4 linked regions of the Caenorhabditis elegans genome follow. The protein of the gene in region 1 interacts with the protein of each later gene in a pairwise test. Each region holds a gene or a part of one and is shown in the gene's direction. Other genes may lie near its edges. The genes, in order: wrm-1, mel-11, nurf-1 and C39D10.7.

What was found.
Region 2: the proteins of wrm-1 (region 1) and mel-11 interact in a two-hybrid assay, tested with the Caenorhabditis elegans proteins (one large-scale study listed by BioGRID).
Region 3: the proteins of wrm-1 (region 1) and nurf-1 interact in a two-hybrid assay, tested with the Caenorhabditis elegans proteins (one large-scale study listed by BioGRID).
Region 4: the proteins of wrm-1 (region 1) and C39D10.7 interact in a two-hybrid assay, tested with the Caenorhabditis elegans proteins (one large-scale study listed by BioGRID).

What each region holds. Positions count from the first base shown.
Region 1 is NC_003281.10:5,721,088-5,727,648, forward strand, and holds wrm-1 (Armadillo repeat-containing protein wrm-1), read left to right. Parts: upstream 1-1,762; 5' UTR 1,763-1,795; coding exon 1,796-1,820; intron 1,821-1,871; coding exon 1,872-1,979; intron 1,980-2,522; coding exon 2,523-2,695; intron 2,696-2,752; coding exon 2,753-3,136; intron 3,137-3,325; coding exon 3,326-4,205; intron 4,206-4,254; coding exon 4,255-4,601; intron 4,602-4,653; coding exon 4,654-4,820; intron 4,821-4,876; coding exon 4,877-5,079; intron 5,080-5,559; coding exon 5,560-5,663; 3' UTR 5,664-6,028; downstream 6,029-6,561. UniProt on the Caenorhabditis elegans protein: Antagonistic role in the Wnt signaling pathway that operates in embryogenesis. When located at the cortex it has been shown to inhibit Wnt signaling during asymmetric cell division but when relocated to the nucleus it shows positive regulation.
Region 2 is NC_003280.10:9,356,890-9,361,570, forward strand, and holds the start of mel-11 (cGMP-dependent protein kinase interacting domain-containing protein), read left to right. Parts: upstream 1-1,641; 5' UTR 1,642-1,644; coding exon 1,645-1,725; intron 1,726-3,035; coding exon 3,036-3,236; intron 3,237-3,800; coding exon 3,801-4,355; intron 4,356-4,681.
Region 3 is NC_003280.10:14,389,008-14,393,746, forward strand, and holds the start of nurf-1 (DDT domain-containing protein), read left to right. Parts: upstream 1-1,706; 5' UTR 1,707-1,712; coding exon 1,713-2,005; intron 2,006-2,676; coding exon 2,677-3,333; intron 3,334-3,431; coding exon 3,432-3,516; intron 3,517-3,576; coding exon 3,577-3,839; intron 3,840-4,739. Other genes in the region: kbp-3 (Kinetochore-binding protein 3), read right to left, coding at 291-318, 584-677, 721-849, 905-1,058. UniProt on the Caenorhabditis elegans protein: Histone-binding component of a NURF-like (nucleosome remodeling factor-like) complex, which would catalyze ATP-dependent nucleosome sliding and facilitate transcription of chromatin. Involved in vulval cell fates.
Region 4 is NC_003284.9:7,907,909-7,915,911, reverse strand, and holds C39D10.7 (Chitin-binding type-2 domain-containing protein), read left to right. Parts: upstream 1-1,981; coding exon 1,982-2,128; intron 2,129-3,136; coding exon 3,137-3,270; intron 3,271-3,325; coding exon 3,326-3,430; intron 3,431-3,483; coding exon 3,484-3,653; intron 3,654-3,698; coding exon 3,699-3,882; intron 3,883-3,953; coding exon 3,954-4,376; intron 4,377-4,553; coding exon 4,554-4,799; intron 4,800-4,845; coding exon 4,846-5,106; intron 5,107-5,747; coding exon 5,748-6,769; intron 6,770-6,823; coding exon 6,824-6,917; intron 6,918-7,021; coding exon 7,022-7,136; intron 7,137-7,181; coding exon 7,182-7,291; intron 7,292-7,337; coding exon 7,338-7,434; intron 7,435-7,482; coding exon 7,483-7,890; 3' UTR 7,891-7,946; downstream 7,947-8,003.

The sequences.
Region 1 (6,561 bases):
AGTTGCTTTTATTTGCCAATTTTTTTTTGGTTTTTCTGCAAAATTTTCGACTATTTCTCTGCCTTTAATTTCCATTGAAAATTCCTGTATTTTTCGTAAATTTTTTGCCAAATTATGTTTTAAATTTCTCAAATTTGTACCCGAATTCACAGGAATCATTTAGAACACGATTTGTCGATATTGAAACAAAAAACTCAAAGTTAGTTGATTTTCAACAACACGAATAAGCTGAAAATTTCCGATTTATCAACATAAATCATGTGAAAAATGCAATTTTTGACTTGAACCCTACTTTTAGAGGTGAAAATTGAGGAATTTTGCAGATTTTCGGCCAGAAATAGTGAAATATCAGTTTTTTTTGTTAAAACTGAAATTTAGCAGAATTTCAAAAAGAAAAAAAAAACAGGTTTTGCATTTCACAAAAAAATGTTAAATTCTCTAAAATTGATTTTTCCTCGCCGCTGCTCTTGATTCTTCCAATTTCCGGTTCATTTTCAATTCCCCTAAATCCGGCTTTCATTTTTTCTTTTCCTTCTTCTCATCCTCACGCCTCACTTGATATCCTCAAAGTCATAGATTCAAATGTTTCTTCGTCACATTTTTGTCTCCGATGACACGCCTGATGATTTAATAATGTGGTCAAATTGATTGATTACTAGTTGGTTGTTGTCTCTTTCTCTACGAGTCGTGTACACACTGATTCCCTTCAGCCTGAGCAGGTGCATATTATCCATTCGCCAATGCTTCTCCTTTTTTTCGAGCTAACTCGCAAGGTTTTGATTAAAATTTAAATAAAAAACTTTAATCCCAAATCCAGAAATTTTCACATAAAACATTTGTGTGGCCTTTCGAAGTAAACTTCCTGCTCAACGGCATCACATTTTCTTTGATTTATTCACTAGATTAACTTTCAGTATTGAAAGCTTCAATCGAATTCAAAATGTATTGATTCGCGGCGCGGAGGTTTCTAGGCCACCGGCTGTGTACTCCTCTCGGACGGGCGATGCCATTCTTCTTATCAGTTTAAATCTTTTTTTCATCGCAAAACTTACTGATAAACTTTGTGAGTTACGTATTTAATAGGAATAATTTTCTCTCCGCTATTTTCGGATTAAATTTCCCCGAAACATTTTGCAACTGGCCGTTCGTCCTGCTGTTTGAACAGCATTCAAGTGTTGACCCCCCACAGAGTATATACCCATATGAACTGATTTATTGGTTACCCCCGATCGTTTTGCATTTATTATCCATTCACCAATGTTTCAGAAATTCAAAATTTTCTACAAGTGGCTGACTATTCGAAAAAAAAAAATAGAATAAGGTGTCAAAAAGTCTGTCAATATTGAAAAAAGCTCAGTGTCCACTTGAGTATGTTTGACTTGGAAGGTGTGAATAGCAGTTGCTCGAAAGACAATAGGAAAGGGGTTTTGTACTTTTGCACAGCATTCTGAGTTATTTTCTAAAATGAAAAAAATTATTTTTTAAACTTTTCTGTAAATTATATTAAAATTGAGAAAAAAACTATTGCTTTGATTCAAAAAACTCATAAATTAAACAATTTTTAAAATATTTTCTAGTTGCTGCAAGAATTAGATACAATTCTCACAAATCCAAAAGTTCGTAATTCTTTTAACTTCTCTTGAAACTTCTTCATTTTTTTGTGAAATCTCCACACACATCCGATTACTTTCCTTTATTCCCCTCATCAATGGCGTTTTCTCAGGTTCTCACATCGAAATTTCTCATTTTAGCTTAGTTTCAGGTTCCTCAACGGACCTGCAACCACCCATCTGAAATGGATGTGGATTGCGCAGAAACATGTAGGTTCCCCCTTGAAATAATAATTATTAAAAAAATCAATAAAATTTCAGTCTCGCAACCATGCACTCCGCTGAATTTCAATCCGATGACTCCGTCAACATCGAGAGTTTCAACACCAGTTCGGCCGTCTTCTACAATGTCTGCCAGACAATATTCAGGTGAGAAAGATATGAAATTTTGGCTTTACTTCGAAAAAAAGATTAAAAGCGGCCAATTTATGCTTAAGATTTTTAATATTCGGAAAAGAATTATTGTAATCTGAGAATTACTTTCATTTAAGCTGGAATAATTGAAAAGTGCTCCGAAAATTGTCTGAAAGTTGAGAATTGCCCGACAAAATTTTCGACAAATCATCGAAAATTTTTTTCAATTTCTCAAACTGAAACAAAAGTTATCTTCAGATAAAGCAAATATTATTTTCTACTGAAAACATGCCACACTGGCTCAATTACCGCGTACCCCTGATCTAGAATGATTGAATAAAAACTCGTTTGCATAACAATTAATCCAAGAATTTCCTGGTCGATAACATATTCCAAAAGGCCATTTCGCGCCCTTTTCTCTCTCGACCCTCTCCAATCACATCACCTTATCACTTCCCCCATTCCATTTTCGTATGTCTCGTGTGTCTATGTGTTCCCCATTGGAAACTTCCCTCAAATTACATACCTCTTTTCACATATTCATATTTCATTTTTCAGGTTCGCCGTTCAAGGCTCAACCTCAGAACATGGAACCGTCCAATTCTCGGGTGCAAGAACTCCGGGAAGCTGCTGTGGGAAAGCGATCATACACAAATGCTTGGATGCAGGGTACCTATGCACCGCCGCAGATGGCAGGACAACAACAAAGGTTTTCGAGGCCTCCGAGTGTGGTAAGAGATTTTTATAAGAATTCCGCGGCTTGAACAGATAATAAAATCAAATTTCAGATCGGCTCCACAATGTCTCACATGACGAATATGTCAGAAATGACCGCCTACTCGTACGGTGGATTGTCAATGCTCTCAGTCAACACTGAAATGGGTGAATTCAACAATTTTGTCAATCAGGCACCATATCAGCGAGCACTGACACGTGTATCGCAGGTTTCCGAGAATCAGGATCCGACGAATCGACAGTATCCGATGACAGCTCCCGAGATTATTGAGAATCTGGAATCAACGGAACTAATCAATCAAGCAGCAGCGATTCGAGCTTTGGAGCCAATTGTGAAAGCTGGTGGAATGTTGCAAACCTGGGGACCTAAAGGAGCCGAACCGATTATTCGAGCTCTGTTTCAAGTTCTTATTCCTCGGCCAGTTGAGAATGAGAATGTAAGTTTTGCATAAATGTTCGTTGAAGGTTTTCATGGTAGGTAGGAACATCGTCATCCCTAAGTGGATGCCTACAGCCTAATATTGTTTAAAAATCTAAAATCTAAATCTAAAAAAATCTTTCAAAAAAAAAAAAAAATATATATAGATGTATTAAAATATCGTTTGACAACTCCATATTTTTTGTAGGTAATCCGGAAAGCGTTTGAAATTCTCCACCACTCAATTCTTCTCTCCAACAAGGAAATCCGACGTATCGACAGGATGTTCTTCCGACTGAATGCGGCATTAATGGATCCCAATGGGCCGCCTGTGTTCAATGTACCAAAGCCATACAGTATCTATGAGATCGTGATGACACGTGCCATTCAACTTGACACGAAATTCGAGTCCAGTGCTATGGTTCTGCTCGTACATCTTTGTTGTAAACCTCATTTCATGAAGATTTTCTTTGGAGAAGATGAGACTCAACAGTCACCAGCACATCGACGTCTTCACAAAATAGTAATTGAATTTGCAATTGGAAACCTGAGAAGACCGGAAACGAAGTCAAAGAATAAGGGACTTTGTGTATCGATTATTAAGAATTTGTCGAATAAAAATGCAACTATCAAAGATATGTCAGAACGTCTTGGTGTTGTGAGCCTCTTTCATCAAATTATGCAGAACGAAGTGATCCACGAGGATTTGTTGTGGTCAACGATGCAGGCTCTTACCGTATTCTGTGGAGATGTTAAGAATGGAACACATTTTGTGCAAATGGGTGGAGCACAAGTTTTGTGCGGTCTTCTTTCGCATGGATCAACACGACTTCTTCACGAACTTCTGAAGTGTTTGAGACGAGTATCAGATTTGCCAGCGATCCAGGAGCAGGATATGAAAGAATCGATTCATTGTATAGTTCAACTTATTGGATGTTCGGATGTAACGATTGTTGAGCTAGCGACTGGAACTCTACGAAATATTGGACTTCATAACAAGATGAACAAGGCATTTATGGTGCAGGATGGAGTTACAAGTCATGCGATCGCAGTTCTTCGGACATCTGAACAGTTTACATATCAGCCACGTTAGTTTTGAAATATTCAATCTGAAATTCTAATTTACTTATTTTTCAGATGCCAATATAGATTTATATAGAAAGCAGATTCTGTCGATTTATGAAAATTGTCTATCCGTATTGAACAATGTGACTTCTATGGCACCTCAAGATATCAAAGAATCTGCAGTATCAGCGTGTAGAATGATCAGTGAGAATGCCGACTCCGCATATGTGCTCCTTCATTACTTTAACGTTGGAAATCGGAAGTGCAGGAAACTTGCGGTGACAGTAATGAAACGTGTCATTGAGACGGTTCCTGCTTTTGCTGATCCGTTTGTTGATCTACTTGGAACAACAAATGAGCCACTACCAATTTTATTGCTTCAAAGAGCATTCCAGAGTTTGGACGAATGGCGGAAAACTGTAAGCTATAAATTAAATTCGTAGAAACAAATAAATTATAATTGATTTTCAGAGCGTTGAAATGATGAATTGTGACGGTAGAAGTGCTGAGCAGAGAAGAGAATTAGATGACAGACGAAAAGATCACGAAGATATTGTAAAACGATCTGTGGGACTTTTAACGAATCTTTGTAGTCAGGCAAATCCAAGATTTTTCCACAGTTTGAAGCTAGTATTGACGTAAGTTTTTTACACTGAAAATCACAATTGAAATAATTAATTTCATTTTATTCCAGAAATGGCACGCTAAACCCCTTCCAATGGCTGACACATGAGATGAGTGACGGTATTCTGCAAGAGTGGCTAGCATTCATTTTGTCAATTTGTAGTCGTGACGAGTCACTGCAAACTTTTATGATGTACAGATTCCTGGAACAGGCAAAAATGACTGAAGCATTCTTTGCGGAACTCAAGGCTCGTCGGCAGAATTCGAATATTCGTGAGTTTTTAACTTCTGAAGAAACTAACAAAAAATACGAATTTTTAAAATACACAAACGCGAAATTTTTCAATTTTGCGCCAAGAATTACGGTAACTTTTTGTTGAATGCAAATATGTGCTTTCATAAATAGTTTTTTTTGTAAAAAATATACGTTTCAATTGAAATATTTGGGGGTTTTGTGAATTATTATTTATGAAAACCTATGAACAATCTATGAAAATTCAGCAGAAACTAAAATTTCATAATGCAGGACTTTTAAAGGCGCACACCATTTTGCATTTAACAAAAGCTTGTCGTGTCGAGACCGGGTACTGTATTTTTGGCGCAAAATTTAGCTACTTCCAGAACATTAAAAGCCTCTTCATTTCTATCACTGCGATAAAAAAAATTACAACCGTGTTTAGAAATTTTATAAATTCTGAAATATGAAATTTTTTATTCCCATAATTCCCTTTTACAATTCACGATCTATTTCAGAAACTATGTTGTCAAAGATCATCGATCTTGGTAGACATCAGCAGAGAATAGTTTCACAACAACATCAACAGCATCAAATGCAGCATCATCGACAACTAATGTGAATGAATCTTTGTGCGGGTACAGAATTCCCTACTCCCGGTGCACAGACACACAATCTCAATCAAATCGATCTTCCAGTTTTATTCATGTGCTATTATATATTTATCTTCATTCCATCCCCATGTTCCCTTATGTAGTTTCACATCAAATACCCACTTCATTTCGTTGTTCTCATTATCAGTATTTGGAGCATATCACTCCCCAATCTAATTAGTTTTTTCCCATCTATCCGTATTATTTGTTGCTCACTTCATTTCTCCAACCATCTCTCAATTATCTCATGTTCTATTACAAGTGCGAACTCTTTTCGACAATTTGATAACGGGCCCTTTTTTTTCGTCTATCGTGTATATGAATTATTTATTAGACTTTAATCTAGAAGACACAAGAAGATTCATCTAGAAGACACAAGAAGACGGACAAAAATTATGATGTAAATCAGAGAAGAGATCAGATATGAGATGAAGGAAGCAATGCGCCAAGCACGATCACCACCAGTTTCAACTGTGTGCACACCATTCGAAAACGTGTAGCAGTGCGCAAAGATGGCGCCAGTCTGAAAAATTGTAAAATTTTGTTACTTTTTTAGAGGATCGCTGGATACCCAAAATAAGATCTGAAGCAGGAAGTGGGCAAAGACGGAAAATGTATTCGGGGCACAAATGATGAACAGGGATAAGCCGACAAGAAGAAACTGAAATATTGAAAAAAAATTGCCACGTGTCACATACATACAGGCGGTCTCACTTCAAAGACATACCACCACGGCTACGAATTTTTGACAAGCAAAATGTGCAGGGTCAGAATGGCACAATGAATGAGTGCCATCATGATGAACCACACATAAACTGGCATACAGAAGCATGGATCTTGCGCAGTGGCTCCTAGCTCAGATCCCGA
Region 2 (4,681 bases), on another chromosome or scaffold:
GAGTCGAAATATATTGAGCGGTGTTTAATAGACGCAGACACGCCGCGTGCAGGCGGAAAGTTTCAAGTACGTCCCTCCCGGTCTCTTTCTCTTGGATGATGGTGTATCTGCGTCTCGAATCACTAATTCTCTCTTTCTGTCTATATCGTTGAAAATAGAGAGAGAGAGAACGACCTATCCATCGACTTGTCGCCCCTAATCCCGGGGGCACTGTTCCATTTTTTCTCTGGAATTAGTTCAATGTGTCCGTTACTCGAAAATTGTTTTTTAATTTCTCATTTTCTGAACATTGAACCTAGATTTTTTAAACAATGAATTTTTAATTTAAATGCCATAGCCAATGTTTTATATTAACATTGATTGCAAAAAAAAAAGAAATGTTTCTTTCCAAAAATATAACATTTCTTTTGAAATATAAACATTGATTGGCAATTTTCAAAAATTTTAAGCGTTTTTTACAGAAATGCCTTGCCTTTTTCAATTATTTTTCCAAATTTGTTTAGTTAGTCTTCAATGACTCACCGCAAACTTTTTTTAGAAACTTTGGAAACTCTAAATATTTCATTTTATAAAATTTTTGAACATAGATATTTTACACCAATATTTTTAGAAAACAAATTGCACCGGAAATAGTGCCCAATTTCATAATATTTGTTCTCCGGTGTATCCACAATCCAAAACCACCTTTATCACATCACTTTATCTAATTCTCTAAGCCTTTTCTGATCTTCACTGCCTCACTATTTTCACCCACTTGCCGCACTTTTCAATGGATGAGTGGGAGTTGTATTGATTAGTATTATATTTATATATCCTTAAGGATATATTTTTAATGGCGGAGTCCATGGATAGTTTGCTTAAAATTATTGAAAATTGGTCCTAATGAACGAATATATATATTTAAAAATGGTTTTAAATTATTTATAAATTTGAAGTTTGAAATTTTTTTTTTCAGTTTTGCCAAAAAATTCAAATTGCACATTTTTGTTGCAAAATTAAAAAAAATTTAGAACCATTTATAAGTGTTTTATAATTATATACGGTATTCGATTTTTCGATTTTTGGTTTTTTATTTAACAAGAACGTTGCATTTTTTAGATTTTTTTTTTTAGAAAAACCCGTAAATTTTTTGATTTTTTGGTATTTCGGAAAACCGAAAAACCGGCAGATTTCGAAAATTCGGGTATTCACATTCCAAGATTTATACGCAAAAGCTATGAAACTTTAGTCAAAAGATTAATCGAATAGTTGTGGTCTCATATTTCAAAAGAAGGATGAACCGGGAAATGAGTGAACGTTAAAGTAGTGGTGGTGGGATATGAAGAGTAATTGACTTGGAGGTGGTCGAATACGCGGAATAAGTCTCCGGTTTCAGTCACACGCTAAACTGGTCATTTCTTGTGGGTGTCTGTGTGTGAATACGAGTCATTTTTCCCAAGCTTCATCGTTTGATCTATTTTTTCTCGTTTCCAAAACCATAATATTTTTACAAAATACTTTATATATTTTTTGGAATTTCTACCCATTATTGTATCAATGAAACGAACGTCATTTGTATCACTTTTCTCATCGTTCTTTGCTTTTCTGATTGAACCTATCTCAAACAACAACATTTTTTACTAAAAAAATTTCATATTTTGCAGAATGGGTCAAGATGACGAGGACGATGCGCATATGCTGCAAGCAAAGCAGCAAATCACTTTTAATGTTGTGAATAAGAGAAAGGTGAGCTTTTTTCAAAAGTTTGAAAACAAAATTCAACAAAAAAATAAATCTGTAATTTTTGCGAAAAAAAATTTGGTAAAAACCTCGTTTATCACAAATTAAAATAGTAAAATAAAACTAAAATTTTCTTCGTTTAAATTGAAGAAATTGTCTAAATTTATATTTAAATTTCAACATTATAAATTAAAAATCAGTTTGAAATTTCATTTTTGTTAAAAGTGATCTTCGAACTTTAAATATCAAATTTTTGGCCGACTTTCTTCGGTTTTTGCGCCAAAAGTACGGTACCCGGTCTCGACACGAAAGATTTCTGTTAAATGCGAAAAGTTATGCACCTTTAAAGGTTACTGTAACTTTCAAAAAGGAATTTTCATTTTTTTTTCCATAGTTTTCATAGTTGTCTTTTTTTGTTCAGTAAATTAATATATTTTCAAAAACGAAAAACGTTAAAAAAATCATGGAATTTCACAACAATAGTAGGTTGAAATTACAGTACTCTTTAAAGGCGCAAGCCTTTTTGCATTAAACATAAATGAATCGTTTCGAGACCGGGGACCCGTTTTTTGACGTGAAAATCTTTAAAAAATTTCATCTGCTTAATTTTCCAGTTTGAAGCTTGTTCAGTTTTTTTGTAGTTTTTTTTTTCGAATTAAAAATTTGAGAAATTTAAAATTATTCTAGAGAAAGTTTCTGAAAACACCTTGCTCTCTATGATTTTTTGTCTGAACCGTCGTTCTTCCTTCATTTTCCATGTTTCCTCCTCCACCCCCGTTCTCCATTTTTCCTGCCATTTTCCATACAAACACATTGACAATAAAAGTGAGTCAGCGGGCACAGGGACACGACGACGGCGACGACGACGACGTCTCTTTCGTCTCTTCTCCGGAAAAAAAACCACCAAAAGAGAACGTTTTTTGATCTTTTTTTGATAGTTTCCACAGGCTTCCGGTTGAACTTTTTTCTTATCAGTGTCAAGTTTTGACTCATTCTAATCGGACGATTATTCGTTTTATTTTTTTCCATTTGCTTTGAAACTTTTTCTCTTGATCATTCAAAAATTAATTTCTAAAAAAAATTACAAACCAGTAGGTATTTAGTGAACAAAAAAAAAACGACAATCACGACCGAAATCCAGTCGTTTATACTTGTTAATCAATTGTGCAAACAGGTGCAAACACAATTTGTGAGCTCTCTCGGCGTGTGCCAACTTTTACTCTTTTTTACGCCGAGGGTTCGAAGTTTAAACATTCAATAAATTTAATATTTTTTAAACAAAAAAAACCATTTATTTGTAATTTTTAAATTTTCAGGATCAATTGCGCCGTTGGCAGAGCAGCGAGATGAACGCAGAAGCAGCTCGGCGAACGAAACGTCCAAAAGTACAATTTCAAGACAGTGATATTTTTCTGTCGGCATGTATGTCTGGAGATGAAGAAGAAGTTGAAGAACTGTTGAACAAGGGTGCCAATATTAATACTTGTACAGTTGACGGGTTGACCGCATTGCATCAGGTGAGATTTGCATTTATTATTGACAATTTGGTACTTGTATCGTCCATATGTGAAGTTTCGTGAATTTTGTTTAAAAAAATACGATACCCGGTCTCGAGGTGAACCTAAAGGAGTACTGTAGTTTTTCTACAGTTTCTTCAAAATTGCACATGTTTTTCAATAAAAGTTAAACAAACGTTTGAAAACGTATGAAACATCGAGGAAAATCCTGCAACAACAGAGAGCAGGGCTGGAGCAACGAAATTACAAAAAAAAATGAAATTGATAAAAACAAAACGAATTTAATTTGGAATTTATTTTAGAAAACAACCTTAACTTTTTCTGGAAATAAAAGTTCAAAAATAAATTTTAAAAAAATTCTTTTTGAATCCTTAAAAAACACATTTTTCGTAAAAAAAAAGTTCTTTAAAAACAGCTACAGTACTCCTTTAAGGCGCACAATATTTTAAATTTGGTGCTTCGAGACCGTACTTTTGAAACAAATCGCAACGTTTTGCATATGGATAGAACATTGAAAAATTGAAATATTGCATAAACAAAACATTCGAAATTGAATATTTTCAGTCGGTAATTGATTCAAAACCCGAAATGGTTCGATTTCTTTGTGAAAAAGGAGCCGATGTGAATGCACAAGATAATGAAGGATGGACACCTCTTCACGCAGCTGCATGTTGTGGAAATGTGGCAATAGTCAGATATTTGTGTCAACATGGAGCCGATCTCTCAATAGTTAATAGTGATAAAGAGTTAGCACTTGATCTTGCAGTAGATGAACAATGTCGTGATTATCTTGACGATGATTACAAGCGACAAATGATTGATCTCGATGCTTGTAGAGATCAAGAACTTCAGACAATGTTGAAAGATGTGAATATGTGGATGAGTCAGGGAGAATATCGAGATATTCCTCACCACAGAACAGGTGGAACTGCAATGCATGTAGCTGCTGGGCGAGGATACACACAATTACTCGAATTACTTATCAAAGCGGGTGGAAATGTACGGGCACAGGATGTCGAAGGATGGACTCCGTTGCATGCGGCTGCACATTGGGCTGAACGAGATGCATGTAAAATATTATTGGAAAATGGAGCGGAATTATCGGATCTAACGTTTACGGTAGGGGTTTACAGTTTTTCTGTTGCGGTTTTCAAGACCTGGCGCCTGCTTGAAACCTACCAGCCACTCGCCTATTTTCTGTATTCTGGCGTGAATTTTCAAATTTCTTATCTTCGAATTTCAATTCGATGAAAATCAAATTTAAAAAATAAATGAGGAAGGCAGAGGTCGCCTTAATTAAGCCAGGCAGGCGTTTCGACGCCGACATGGAAGTCCTATCAAAGAAAAACGACAACAAAACTGAATTTAAAAACATTTGTCATACCAAAATATGTTTTTTCAAAGATAAAAAATATTATTTACTGAAAAAATGTACAAACTTTATT
Region 3 (4,739 bases), on another chromosome or scaffold:
CGTCGTCCTCGTCTTCCTCATCATCATCCTCTTCTTCTGAAGAATCCCTGGCAAGAGTGAGACCGGCTCCTGTAGAAACCACGACATCACAAGAAAATCCACAATCTTCCGCTAACACCTGGGAACTTTTGAACAAATTTTCCTCGAACGGAAGAGAGAAGAGTTTCCCTAATACCTTCTACGGAACAATTGGAAACTATTGAAATGTGATGATGATAACAATATAATAAATGAAATGATTTAATATACATGAAAAGAAGGCATAATTGATACGTGGATGAAAACCAGAGTTAGACCAAGATGTTGGAGAGGTTCGATCTGAAAAAAATACACGTTTAGTTTATAAAGAAGGATTTTTTGGTTAAATAGCTTTAAAATGGACCTATATAAACGAGTCTGGTGGTGAAATATCAAAATTTTTACCGCTCTTCAGTGCCGCCCGCATAATAATAATTAAATAAACATTAAGTTCCGACTGCTGCCAGCCACACAGTAAAGTAGGCAAAACTGAAGATTTTAGTCCAGATTTTAAAAACTTTTGAGCAGTTTCTTCACAAAACTTATTTTTAATTAAATCCCTTACAATTTCTTTCTATTCCCATCGTTAGGCTCATTCGGCGTGGTTTTCAAGAGATTGACGTCATCCGTCCACTTCGCAGATATTGCTTCCAATTTTTCTGGAGTAAATCAGATAAATTGTTTCAAAGACTATCAGCTTACTGTTAAATTCCCGCTCATTTCCAATTTTGTTCTCATCGTCCAATCTTTTTAGTTTTTCTTCCAGTTGCTCAGTTTCAAACATATTTTTGTTCAGTAGCTGTTGTTCGAATGACTGTTGCTCGTGGCGTTCTGAACAAATGTTTTGTTTTATGCACACATCTAAACAATTTCCTTGCAAATTTACCATCGATATGTTTTTGAGCATCGATTCTCGTTTTCATAATTTTTTCCTGGCATTTTTGGAGTTTCCGCATTCCTTCATCAACTAATTCGTCTTTCTCATTGACTGCCTTAAGACGATTAATAATCTTGTCCATATACTCGTTGAGTGACTCCATTTTGCCGAAAAACCTGCAAAAATTCAATGAAAATCGGTTAAAAACTAAGATAAATAAATAAAAATGCGACAGCAAAATTAGCAAAGATAAATTCCAACTCAAATTCCCGCGTCAAGAGGGCCAAGGTCTCGTCGCGACCATTGCAAATAAATGTGTGCGCCTTTAGGGTGTGCCTCTCGCACTGAGTCGATTTACGGCGCGGCGCGTTCAAAAAAGTGTCCAAACTGATTATTTAGACGGAAAAGTGAAGGAAAATTTCGGAAAATTATTATTTTTCCTTTTTTCCCATTGTTTTTTATGTTTCCACTTGAGAAAAGCCGATTTTCCGCTGGAAAATGAGTTTTATCCCATTATCGATTTTTTCAGCTTCAAAAATTAAGATTTCGTACTGTAGTTTACCAATCCTGGATCCTTTTTTAATGTATTTTTATCTAATAATGTTATATTCCGATTGTCATTTCTCGCAAATTTTATTGATTTTCCTCCAAAGACCATATGATGACGTAAAATCTTTTTTTCTTGGATTTCAAGCTCTTTTTCACAATTACCAGTGTTCTAATTTGATTTTAAATTTATTCCTTTCGAGGCTTTCAATATTTTTTGACGAACATTCTTAAGCTTATCGATTTTCGAAAAGTTTCGAAATTTTTTCAGATGGCTCCACCACGTGGCCGTTCAAAGCGAAAGCATCCGTCTGAATCCGGAAATTCTTCAATTGCCGATTCAGAAGACCCATCAGAATCCACATCATCATCTCGTCCACGCCGCAGTCGACTTCCGAAACGTTATTTTGACGACGGTTACAGTCCACCGCCAACAAAAAAACGTGCGGCTCAACGGGAAACACCATCAGACGCCGAGGAGGTGGAGGTGAAGATTGAAGAGATCTCGGTTAGATCTACACCTGCGTCAACACCAGCACCAAAGAGTACCTCGAAGGCTAGAGGGTGAGAAATCAAGAAGAAAAATAATTTCAGAAATTCCGCTGATTTCAGATAATTTTCAATTAAATGCTTTTTTCAAGTTTTAACGCAAATTCTTAGGATATTTCCGCTTTCGTCAAATTTTCAATCGAAAAAACGTATAATACGCTTTTTCACGTCGTTCACAACAAATTATTTAGATTTAAAGAAAAACTATGCAAACCCATTTGCGATGTACAAAAATTTGTCGTTTCGAGATCATATTTTCGCGCCTGGGTAATACCGAATACAACTGCAAAATGTTTCGAATTTTTGCAAATATTCAAATTCCGAAGGAACTATGCTTGCGTTCTCCGGCCAATTTTTCGGGTTTTCTTGATTTTTTCTCATTTTTTCAGAAATCGAAAATTCAAAATTCTTTTTATGATAGTTTTGCGGAAAAACGCCTGAAAACGAGGCTACAATTTGCATAATCAAGAAAAACAAAAATAAAGTGTTCCGCAAAAAAATTAAATTTTGTTTTCAGAAAAATGGAATTTTACTCAAAAATTGAGATTTTTTTTTCACAATCATGGATTTTTTTTCCAAAAAATTGGGAATTTTTCTGAAAAATCCCAATTTTGCAAAATTAAGAATATTTAGAAGCTATATAAATCTGCCTGTTCAGATTAAAAATAAATTCCATCAATTTTCAGCCGACCCAAAAAAAATCCAACTCCACCACGTCGCAAATCGCTAAAACGCCAAGAAGAAGACATTATCTACATGGATGAGGATTCTGAAGAAGAAGAAGAATCTTCGGACGATGAGTTCATGCTAAATGAGGATCAGGTTGTTCAGGAGGAAGAGGAAGAGTTGAATTTAACAGATATTAAAATCGAAAAAGGTCTCGACGAGGAGAACAAGTATTGTCCGTGGTTGGATGAAGATCCTGCAAGTCTACCAAAACTCGAACTACCAGAATCTAGTCAGGATATTCCGATTCCAACGGCTAGTATAATGGATGCTGTTGAAATTTACGAGATTCTCCGATCTTATCATCGAACTCTCCGCATCACACCCTTCACTTTTGAGGACTTTTGCGCGGCACTAATATCGCACAACAACTCATGTATTATGGCAGAAGTCCATATGGCTTTGCTTCGTAATTGTCTGAAATCCGACGATGAAGAGCAGACGCACTACTCGGTGACCGAGACGAACAATTCTGTAAATATAATGATTCACCATATGGATACACTGACCTACGCTGAAATTCTACGACAATATATTGAGGCGTACCCGTTTGCTGATGCGTCTGTTAGAGATGCTATTAATGTCGATAATTATCCGTTTGTGGGATATGATGCAAAGTAAGATTCAATTTTAAGAAAAATCCTTTTTTTTTTAAATAAAATCGCAGTATACAAAGAGACTTTAGTTTTTTTTTTAATATTAAGCATGTTTTCAGACTCGTCGTCCTTCTCTTCATGAGCTACCGTTTCTTATATTCGTCGGAATTTAAGAAACTTGTGAATAATGTTGGAAAATTCCAGGTAAAACTCTCGTTATATAAAAAATTTAACTGAAAGAAATTCAAATGTTTTTTTTTTCAGAACGACGAAAACTGCCGAGTTTGCGGTAAATCGTCAGGACGTGTAGTAGGTTGCACTCAATGCGAAGCCGCTTTCCACGTGGAATGCAGTCATCTGAAGCCATTTCCTGAGGTTCTTGTATGCAATATATGTAAAAAGAATTCAGCAGTTCGTGGTGTACTGCCGCCGGATGAAGCTGTCGACCGGGAACCGTTAAGATCTCAACCAATCGGAAGGGATAGATATGGACGATATTATTGGTTCATTGTTCGACGTCTTGTTGTGTAAGTTTTTTAAAGTGGAGTAGCGTCTGTGCTTTTTTTACCTGAATGATAGAATATCGTGCCTATATACCAAATATAACTGTAAAAAATTATAACATTTTTCTAAATTTTTTAATGATTTGTTTCAATTTTGAAAAAATAAAAAGGGCTCAATTATTTTTGAATTGTCGCGCAAATAAGTGACGTCTTTTTCGGATGTTTTGATTAGTTTTTCTTCATTTTTTCTTTGTTTTAATATTTGTAGATTTTTCAGACATTTTCCGGACAGAACACTTTTAGAGGCCAAATTATCGATTTTTAGACAAACTTTAATTTTTTTGGCACATCAATTTAATGTTTGAATAAGTATTCTAAAATTTGCCTAAAATTTGCCTAAATAATATGATATTTTTAAAAGGTTTTTTTACGGAAAAAAAGTGTCTGAAAAATTGACGTTCAAAATTTTCAAATTATAAAACAAAGAAAAAATAAAGAAACTCCAATTAAAACAGCTGGAAGAAATGCCGTCACTCATTACGCACGGGAATACAAAAATAATTCAGCCCTTTTTTTCAAAATAAAAAAAATCATAAAAAAATTAGAAAAATGTTATAATTTTTTAACAGTTATCGTATATTCTCTATTAGTGCTGCATGTAGCACTAATTTTCCTACCCTTCTTGAATGCAGCACTATTAGAGACTGCAGTATTACTGGAGACTGCAGCATTAATCTTCAAACGGCAATTTTCAATTAGAGAATACTAGTTGTTAGTCACAAAACCTCTTATTTTTAGCAGAAATTCATCAAAAAATATGAACTTTCGTACCAAGAATGACCCAATAATTCAATTATGTTTGTAAATAAAAAGAAATAATCAAAAATATGCAAAACAACTCCCCAAAATGCCGAAACTACTAGT
Region 4 (8,003 bases), on another chromosome or scaffold:
GCAATTTCTCAATTGGTGCAAAATGATGCAAGTATATTTATTCTTGTGCGGCCTGGGTTACTTACGTGGCCCGTGACGTAGCAAACATGACGTCAGCAGCAGCTGGAAAGTAATACCACATGGTGTGACCTGTCTTCTACCAATTGGAAGGGGTCAAACGTACAGGAATGATAATTACGCTGGATGTTTGGTAGAATATGCTTATATTATATCATTTAAGATATTCTAAGATGGTTGATAATCCAATAATATTGAGTTGTCATTTCGGCACGACAATGAACGTTTTAAAGTAAAAATAACTGTAGATGTATAATTCTATATTACAAACTTAACAATTAAAGTTGAATAAATTTATAAAATGAATTGAAAAATTCGAAGAGAAACTGGATGGAAGTTGTTTTTTTTAAGAAACATTTTTTAAGACATATTTTTGACACTAGTTGAGGTTATATATTGAATTTTTAGCTGAAATAAATACCCTATTGAATTTAGTAAAGCAGTTTCAAATACGTTTTCATACATTAACAAATTGAATGTATTTTCAAACTTTTTTATTTTTCGAAAAAAAGTCTCATTTTCTTTTATTGTAGTCTAGAAAACAGACAGTTTTTTTTAATTTTTAATTGTAACAAGACTATGAATAATTTCCAAATATATAACGTTTCTTTAATTTCTAATTCTGTTTCAACTTCCATCTCACCTGGAATGGAATTAATGATTTCATGTATACTCATACTTCTTATAAGTGATATCATTTTTGACAGCAATGCGGAAAATGTTAGAATATCACAGATTGTGCAATAGTTGTTCTCGCTTGAAAATTTTCCCATCAGGAAATGAACATTTTTCTTCCAGGACAAATGCTGCCGGAAGATTCAAATGATAAGAGATATCAACTGTGGGCGGGATCGAGAAGAGCAATGGTGAGGCTCGAAGAGGTCACTACGTCAGAACTGTTTCGAGAAGGGTATGCGAATTGAATAATGCAGATTGATTATTTTAAAATTGTATGTTTCAAATTGATTAGTGTGACTAATTAAATAACCTGGAATAAACACTCGTGATAATTAACTGGTTGCGATATTTAACAATGTAAATAAAAATAGTTAAAATAAAATTTTAAGTGAAACATGTTAAACTATGAAGGAAAATTACGGTTGAAACATTATTTGTGTTACTACTATTTCACATTTACTCTTTTTGGCTACAAACGATTTTATGTTAAATTCAGTTTTTAATCGTTATATTAGAGATTCAAAAAAAACTTACCCAGAACATGTTCAGCAATTAATTATAATTATATTCGCTACTTTATTGAATATTTCGTTTGTAAATCTCATGTTGTTTCGTCGATAAGGTACTTTTTAAGAAGATATAATTATTCTACAACCAGGTTAATTTTGACAATGCCAGAAAAATACTATAGTTTCCGGAAATATCTTTCTAATCCGTTTTTTTTCTACAAAAACACATGCGCATCGAACATCATCCGTTTCCAAGGCTGTCCGAACTTTTGCACGATTTGCAAGTCGTGTTTTCTTGTGGTAAACAGTCAATAATCTCGTAATTACTATTGACTGGATACGTCAATTCGTTCATTCCGGGTCACCCGGTAAACTTAGAGATTGTCATAAGGAAAAACGAAAATAAAATAAGATCTCAGTTTTCGAGGTACTTATTCTTTCTAGATTGAACACTATACTTGCAAAGAAAAGAATGTGAATGTTTCGTTGATTCATTTTTCTTTTTTAGTGCTTGATATTCTTTTATTTATTAATAAATATCTGATGGATTGGGCTTTTGATCAATATCTGAATTCCAATCTACAGGTTTTCTAGCTTTTTATCAATAAGAGCAGAACAAAATCCGCCCACCATCCAAGACAGAACAGATTGACAATATAAAAGCATTGTGTTTCAGATAAACAATCATTCACATTTCTTTCAAATTTTCTTCTCGCAATTTTCTTTTTATTTTTTAGATGCGACAGCTTTCAATATTTGCGGCGGCTGTCATCCTCATCTCGGCGGACGCCAAAAATGTTCTGAACCCGAAAGGACCACCATGCCCGGATGGTGACGGGCTTTATGCTGTTGGTTGCAGCTCAAAGTATCTTCAGTGTGTCAACGTGAGTTTTCTTTTGGAGCTTTACAAGGGAAGTCGATAAACTTAATGTCTGACTTTGGCATGACATAGTATTTTTTCGATAAAAGAGTGATAATAATGATCCCTCCAAAAAATTTAGCTGCCCCGGTCCAGGTTTAGCAAAGTTATGATGTTTTGAAAGTGCCGAAAAAATTTCTTGACCTACCAAAAAAAAAACTTTTAAAATTTCAAAAAAAAAAATTGTTTTCTGAAAATCGATAAAAACTGTTTTAACTTATCCAAAACAGTGAAAAGCATATATCATACACGTTTTTTCTCACCACGGACAAAAAACCACATACCTTGAGCAAAATTCCAAAAAGTACTTTTTCTGGTAGATTAGTTTGTGGGTTTTCTTGAGAGTTGTGAGCTAAAACAACTTGCAAACATTTTTTCCTCTTTTTAGAAAAAAATGTTTTTTTTTTGAAAATTTTGAAATTTTGTAAAAAGGTGTTTTAGTCACTTTCAAAACGTCATAACTTTGCTGAACCTGGATCGGGGCAGCTAAATTTTTTGGAGGGATCATTATTTTCATTATTTTATCGAAAAAATACTATTTCATGCCAAAGTCAGACATTAAATTTTTCAACTTACATCTTTAAAAAATATACTATAACGATTTGCAATATTTGTACCTTTCACGTCACATATTTTGCAATAGAACAGTCATAAAAATTTGCAATTCAAATTTTCGAATTTTAAAGATAATACCAAATTTTTTTAGCTCGAAAATTTTCATGATACTTTGAAAATGAAAAAAAAGCGACAAAAAGCGAGCCATTGTGAGAAAAAAAAGAATAACTGTGAAATAGGCGAGTCGACCCATTACGACCCATACGCATCTCTAGCTGATACCATTTTTTAATGAAACAAATATTTATTTTCTTTTCTTATTTCTTTTGAGACCACTTCAAAGTAATGGAAAACTATTGTAAGGGAATGTTTAAACCATAAATCTGAATTTAATTAAAATTTTTTATATAATTTTCAGAATGTTGAATATGAGCAGTCATGCCCAGAGGGTCTTTATTTTGACCGCTTATTAGCACGTTGTGAGCGTCGTTCTAGCAACCATCTCTGTGCCACAGGTGATCGTGTAACACTCAATGTCCGCCAAAAGGCCGTGTGAGTTTTATTGGAAAATTATTTTTTCTGAAATATTTTAATTGAAAAATTTCAGTTCGATAAATTGTGTGGGCAGACTTAGTGGGGATTATGCACTGGACAAGACTGTGTGTAATGAAAACTATTATCAGTGTGCAAATGGAATATCTTACATGAGAAAGTTAGTTTCAAGTGCAGAAAACTTATTAAAGAAAACACATAATCAATTTGAAGGTGTCCATACCAGCAAGTATACGTTCCAATTCTCAAGCGATGCGATTACCACACCAACTGTAATGCTTCTGGAGGAGTTAAAGATCAAGCAGCTGCTGCCTATGCTTCACCAACATATGATTCGGATAACTACATCGTCACTACCAAAGAATTTGAAAATGGGCACAATGGTTCGGCCTTACTAGTATTATTATCATTAAAAATGTTTATTTAAGGATTGGACTGTAAAGTTACTGGAGACATGCATTTCACTGATAACGTGAAGTGTTCCCCATATTTCTGGCAGTGTTCGAATGGAAAGCTGTTCAGAAAAACTTGTCCAGAAAAGCTAATCTACGTTTTGGACCAAAACCTGTGTGACTTTCCAGAGTCTGTGAAAGATTGTCCAGAATATAACGGGTGAGTTGATCAAATTTGTTGTGTAAATGAAGAAAACTTAACAAAACTTACTTTTGGGTAATTTATTTCAGCTCCGAAACTTCGTATAGAGCACCAAAAACCACTACTTCTTCTTCTTCTTATGGGTCAATTGCTGAAGCTCCAGTGGATCCAACCCCATATGCTCCAGCTTCCGCGCCAGTCTATTCCCCACCAAGAACAACCTACGTCCCACGCTCGACATCAGCAGCTCCACCAAATCCACCACCACAAAATCCAACTGCTGCCCCATATGTTCCAACTGAAGCTACACCTTCACCTGTCTTCTCTTCAACAGTCAGATACAATCCAGCAGTACACGGAGATTGCAAAAATAGAGACGGAATCTTTGGAATCAAAGAGTGCCACGCATCATTTTTGAGTTGTGACAACGGAGTTGGTCGGGTTATTCAATGCGCGGATAATCTTGTATTCGACACAAGAGTGTCAGCTTGCGAATTCGCAGCAATTTGTCTGTAAGTTGAATATTCATTTCAAATTGAAATTTGTTACTGTATAGGTTTGGAGTTTTTGTCAGTTTCCCTGTCATAAGGTTTACTCAAGAAAAAATCTGAATCGGAAGTTGATTTACTTTCGTAATAATCTTCTCATAAATATGATATAAATAAGTCAAATCTAAAAACAAAATTTAGAGAGCCACGAAAACCAGAAGATGTACCTGTTCTTTACAATCACGGAGGAGCCTATAACGAGAGACCAGCTGAAGTGAAAGTAGACTTTGACTGTACCGGAAAACCAAACGGAAAGTACATCAAGGAAGCATGCACCAAAAGCTTCTTCACTTGTCACGATGGAAGAGCTTTTGCGAATGACTGTCCTGGCGATCTAGTCTTTAACAAAGCTACTGGCACCTGTGATTTTGCTGAAAACTGTGAAAAGTACCAATCTCAAATTGTTTGAAAAGTTATAAAATCAAAATTTCAGAAACTACATGGAACCATCTCAAATTTACAAAGGTGAAGACACTCCAACTACTACAATTGGATACTCGTCGTCCGTAGTGTACACAACCACTGAACAACCAGCAACAAAGCCGTACACACAGCCACCAAGAGACACTGAACGGCCATCAACGATTTACGGACGTCCAATTTACACCAAGGCTCCGACCACTGTTGGATATGAACAACCAAAAGCTACATACACTACTCAGGCTCCAGTCACAACTACAATTGCTTTGGACGAGTGAGTTTTTTAATTTCAAGGAAAAAACTCCCTCTTTGGACTAGATCACTATAAAAATTTTAGCAGCTTTTTTTTACTCAATTTTTACTCAATTTTACTCAATTGGGAGTTCCTGAAATAGACATCTAACTTTTTCCAGTTTTTTCAAGGAATTAGATTCATAAAATATCTTCAATGACAGTGTCTGTCACAAAAATGCTATTGGAGGTATTTGAAATTTAACAAACATCTTGGAAACTGAATGAAAGTTTTTAGAAATTTTCTCAATCAGACAGTTTCCGACAAAAATTGCGTTCCTTTAGTTGGAAAACTTCTAATGTGTAAAGACACAGCTGTGTTATTTTTAATGTTCTAGTTTATTTTTTTCAAATAATTTGAGACTATCTGAGATTATGCAAATAGCTGAAATCTGATTTAAAAAAGCGGCAAAAAATTTGAGATATTGTTCAATTACGAATTTTATCCAATTTAAAAGTAAGAAGTATATTGTATAATTTCAAGGAAAATTTTTTTAAAGGTTTTTCAATTAATGTTTTAGGTTAAGCAGCGGAAACCATTTTAATCTATTTCAAACAAAAATTCCCCCTAAGAGCTTACAACATTTTTGTCAAAAGTGTTCCAGTTATAATTATACTTTCCAGCTTTTCCTGCAAACACCTCGCTGATGGAAACCATGCCTCTGGTCTCTGCAAGAGCGTATTCTACATTTGCGCAAACGGACAAGTCGTTGCAACTACATGTCCAGCAAATCTGATCTTCAATCCATATGTCGGAGAATGTGATTACAGTACGAATGTCCGAGATTGTCAAGGGTACCAACCAACCACCACTCCATCATACTCCTACCCTAAAACTACCAGCAAACCATATGAACAACCAAGTACCACCCAAGGATATGCTCCAATTGAATATACTCCGGTTACTCCAGGGTACGCACCACAATACACATCAACAATCTTCACAACAACTCTATCCCCAAAATACGCTGCAATGTGTGCAAAACGTGATGATGGAAACTATGGATTTGACTGCGAAAAATACTTGATCAAATGCTACAATCGTAAAACATTCAAGTTCCCTTGCCCGTCAGGATTGTACTACAGTCGTCTACAAGATAAATGTGACGTGAAGGAAAATGTGGAGGGATGTCCAGAGTACAAACCAACTACAGACGCAACACCAGCTGCCGAGCAACCAGTCATTTCATATCAAAACTATGGATACTCTCAAAGCACCACCAAAGCGTACAATCCATCCGTGACCACTCCATCGCCACAGCATGCTGCTTTCTGTGAAAGACTCGAAAATGGAAACTACGGTCTTGATTGTGAGGACTATTACATCTCGTGCAACAACTTTGAGACTACAATTAATCGTTGCCCCGCAGGATTGTTTTACAGCAAATTGAACAATCGATGTGACTACAAGGAGCATGTCGAAGATTGCCCAGAATACAAGCCAACTCCTTCTACAACACCAGCAGCAGAGCAACCAGGCACGACAAAATATACAACTTACAACTACCCAAACATTGATTACACCTCCACAACTCCAGGACCAGTAGACACCACACCGTTGGCAAAGGCGTTCTCCTGCTCCGGACGTCCTGATGGAATCTATGCTCTTCCGTACTGCTCACAAGACTACGTTCAATGCATGCAAGGTTAGACTGTGCAAAATCACAAGTTATCTGAAAGTAAGCAATTATTAATTGCAGGTCGTTCACTTATTTCCTCATGTGCCCCCGGACTTTTTTACAACGAAAAGAATGGAATGTGTGCTTACAAACACACCGTGGATACATGCAAAATGTAAGCATATCGGAGTACTGAATTTGATGTGGTGGATTAATGTAATCGTACCTAATGAACTTAGTTTTTTAAAGAACTTTCAACTTTCATTTTAATAATTTTAGCGGCAAAGGATCTGACATAATCGATTCGAATGCTTGTTTTGGAAAATCAGATGGTTATTACTCTGCTGGGTGCTCCTCATATTACTTTTCCTGCATTGATGAACAGATTCGTAAGGTATGTTCCGATTAATGTTGTTCAGTATTTCGCAAAATTTTTTAGATGAGCTGCCCGAACAGTCTCAAATTCTCCAAGGAATCCGAAAAGTGTGTATTCCCAATTGACGCAAAGGAATGCTCAATTGCAACCACTCTAGACAGAACACCTCCAGCGTAAGATTTTGTCATGTTACTGCTCTGATGAAACATTTACTTTCAGAGTGCCAAGTGATTTCTGCACGATCAGATCTAACGGACTCCACCACCTCAAAATGTGCTCCCCACATTACATTGTCTGTGACAACGGAAGAGCCTTTGTGAGTTTATTAAAATATATACATTCAAAAATAATATATGCTTTTCAGTCTGGAACTTGTATTGCTCCATTGGTGTACAATGGGGACACGCAAACTTGTAATTATAAGAGCACCAATAAGGACTGTGGCAATGATTACATACCTCCAGTTGCTGAAGTCACATCTAGTTACACAACTTACACCACCAAAAGATTTGAGCAGCCAGCTCCAACCACGACTGCAGCCCCGTATCAACCTCAAACAACGACTACTGGAAAGGTTCTCTACAAAGCTGCATATACCACCACCGCTACACAGTATGAAGAACCAGCAACAACTCCCTCTCGCGATGTAGAGACTCCAACCACCACTACTCACAAACCGTACGAGACAACCACTGAAGCACAAGATGCAACCACAACTACTACAGCTTCATATGTGGCCCCAACTACAAGTTCTGCGTATAAGTCATATTAATATATACACTTATTTTTGCCTTACGTCTTTTTTGAGTTTTCAATGAATTATTATATTTAGAAAAAAAGAGTTTTGAAGCATTAAACATTTAAATTGGGACAGCAAACTGCCAT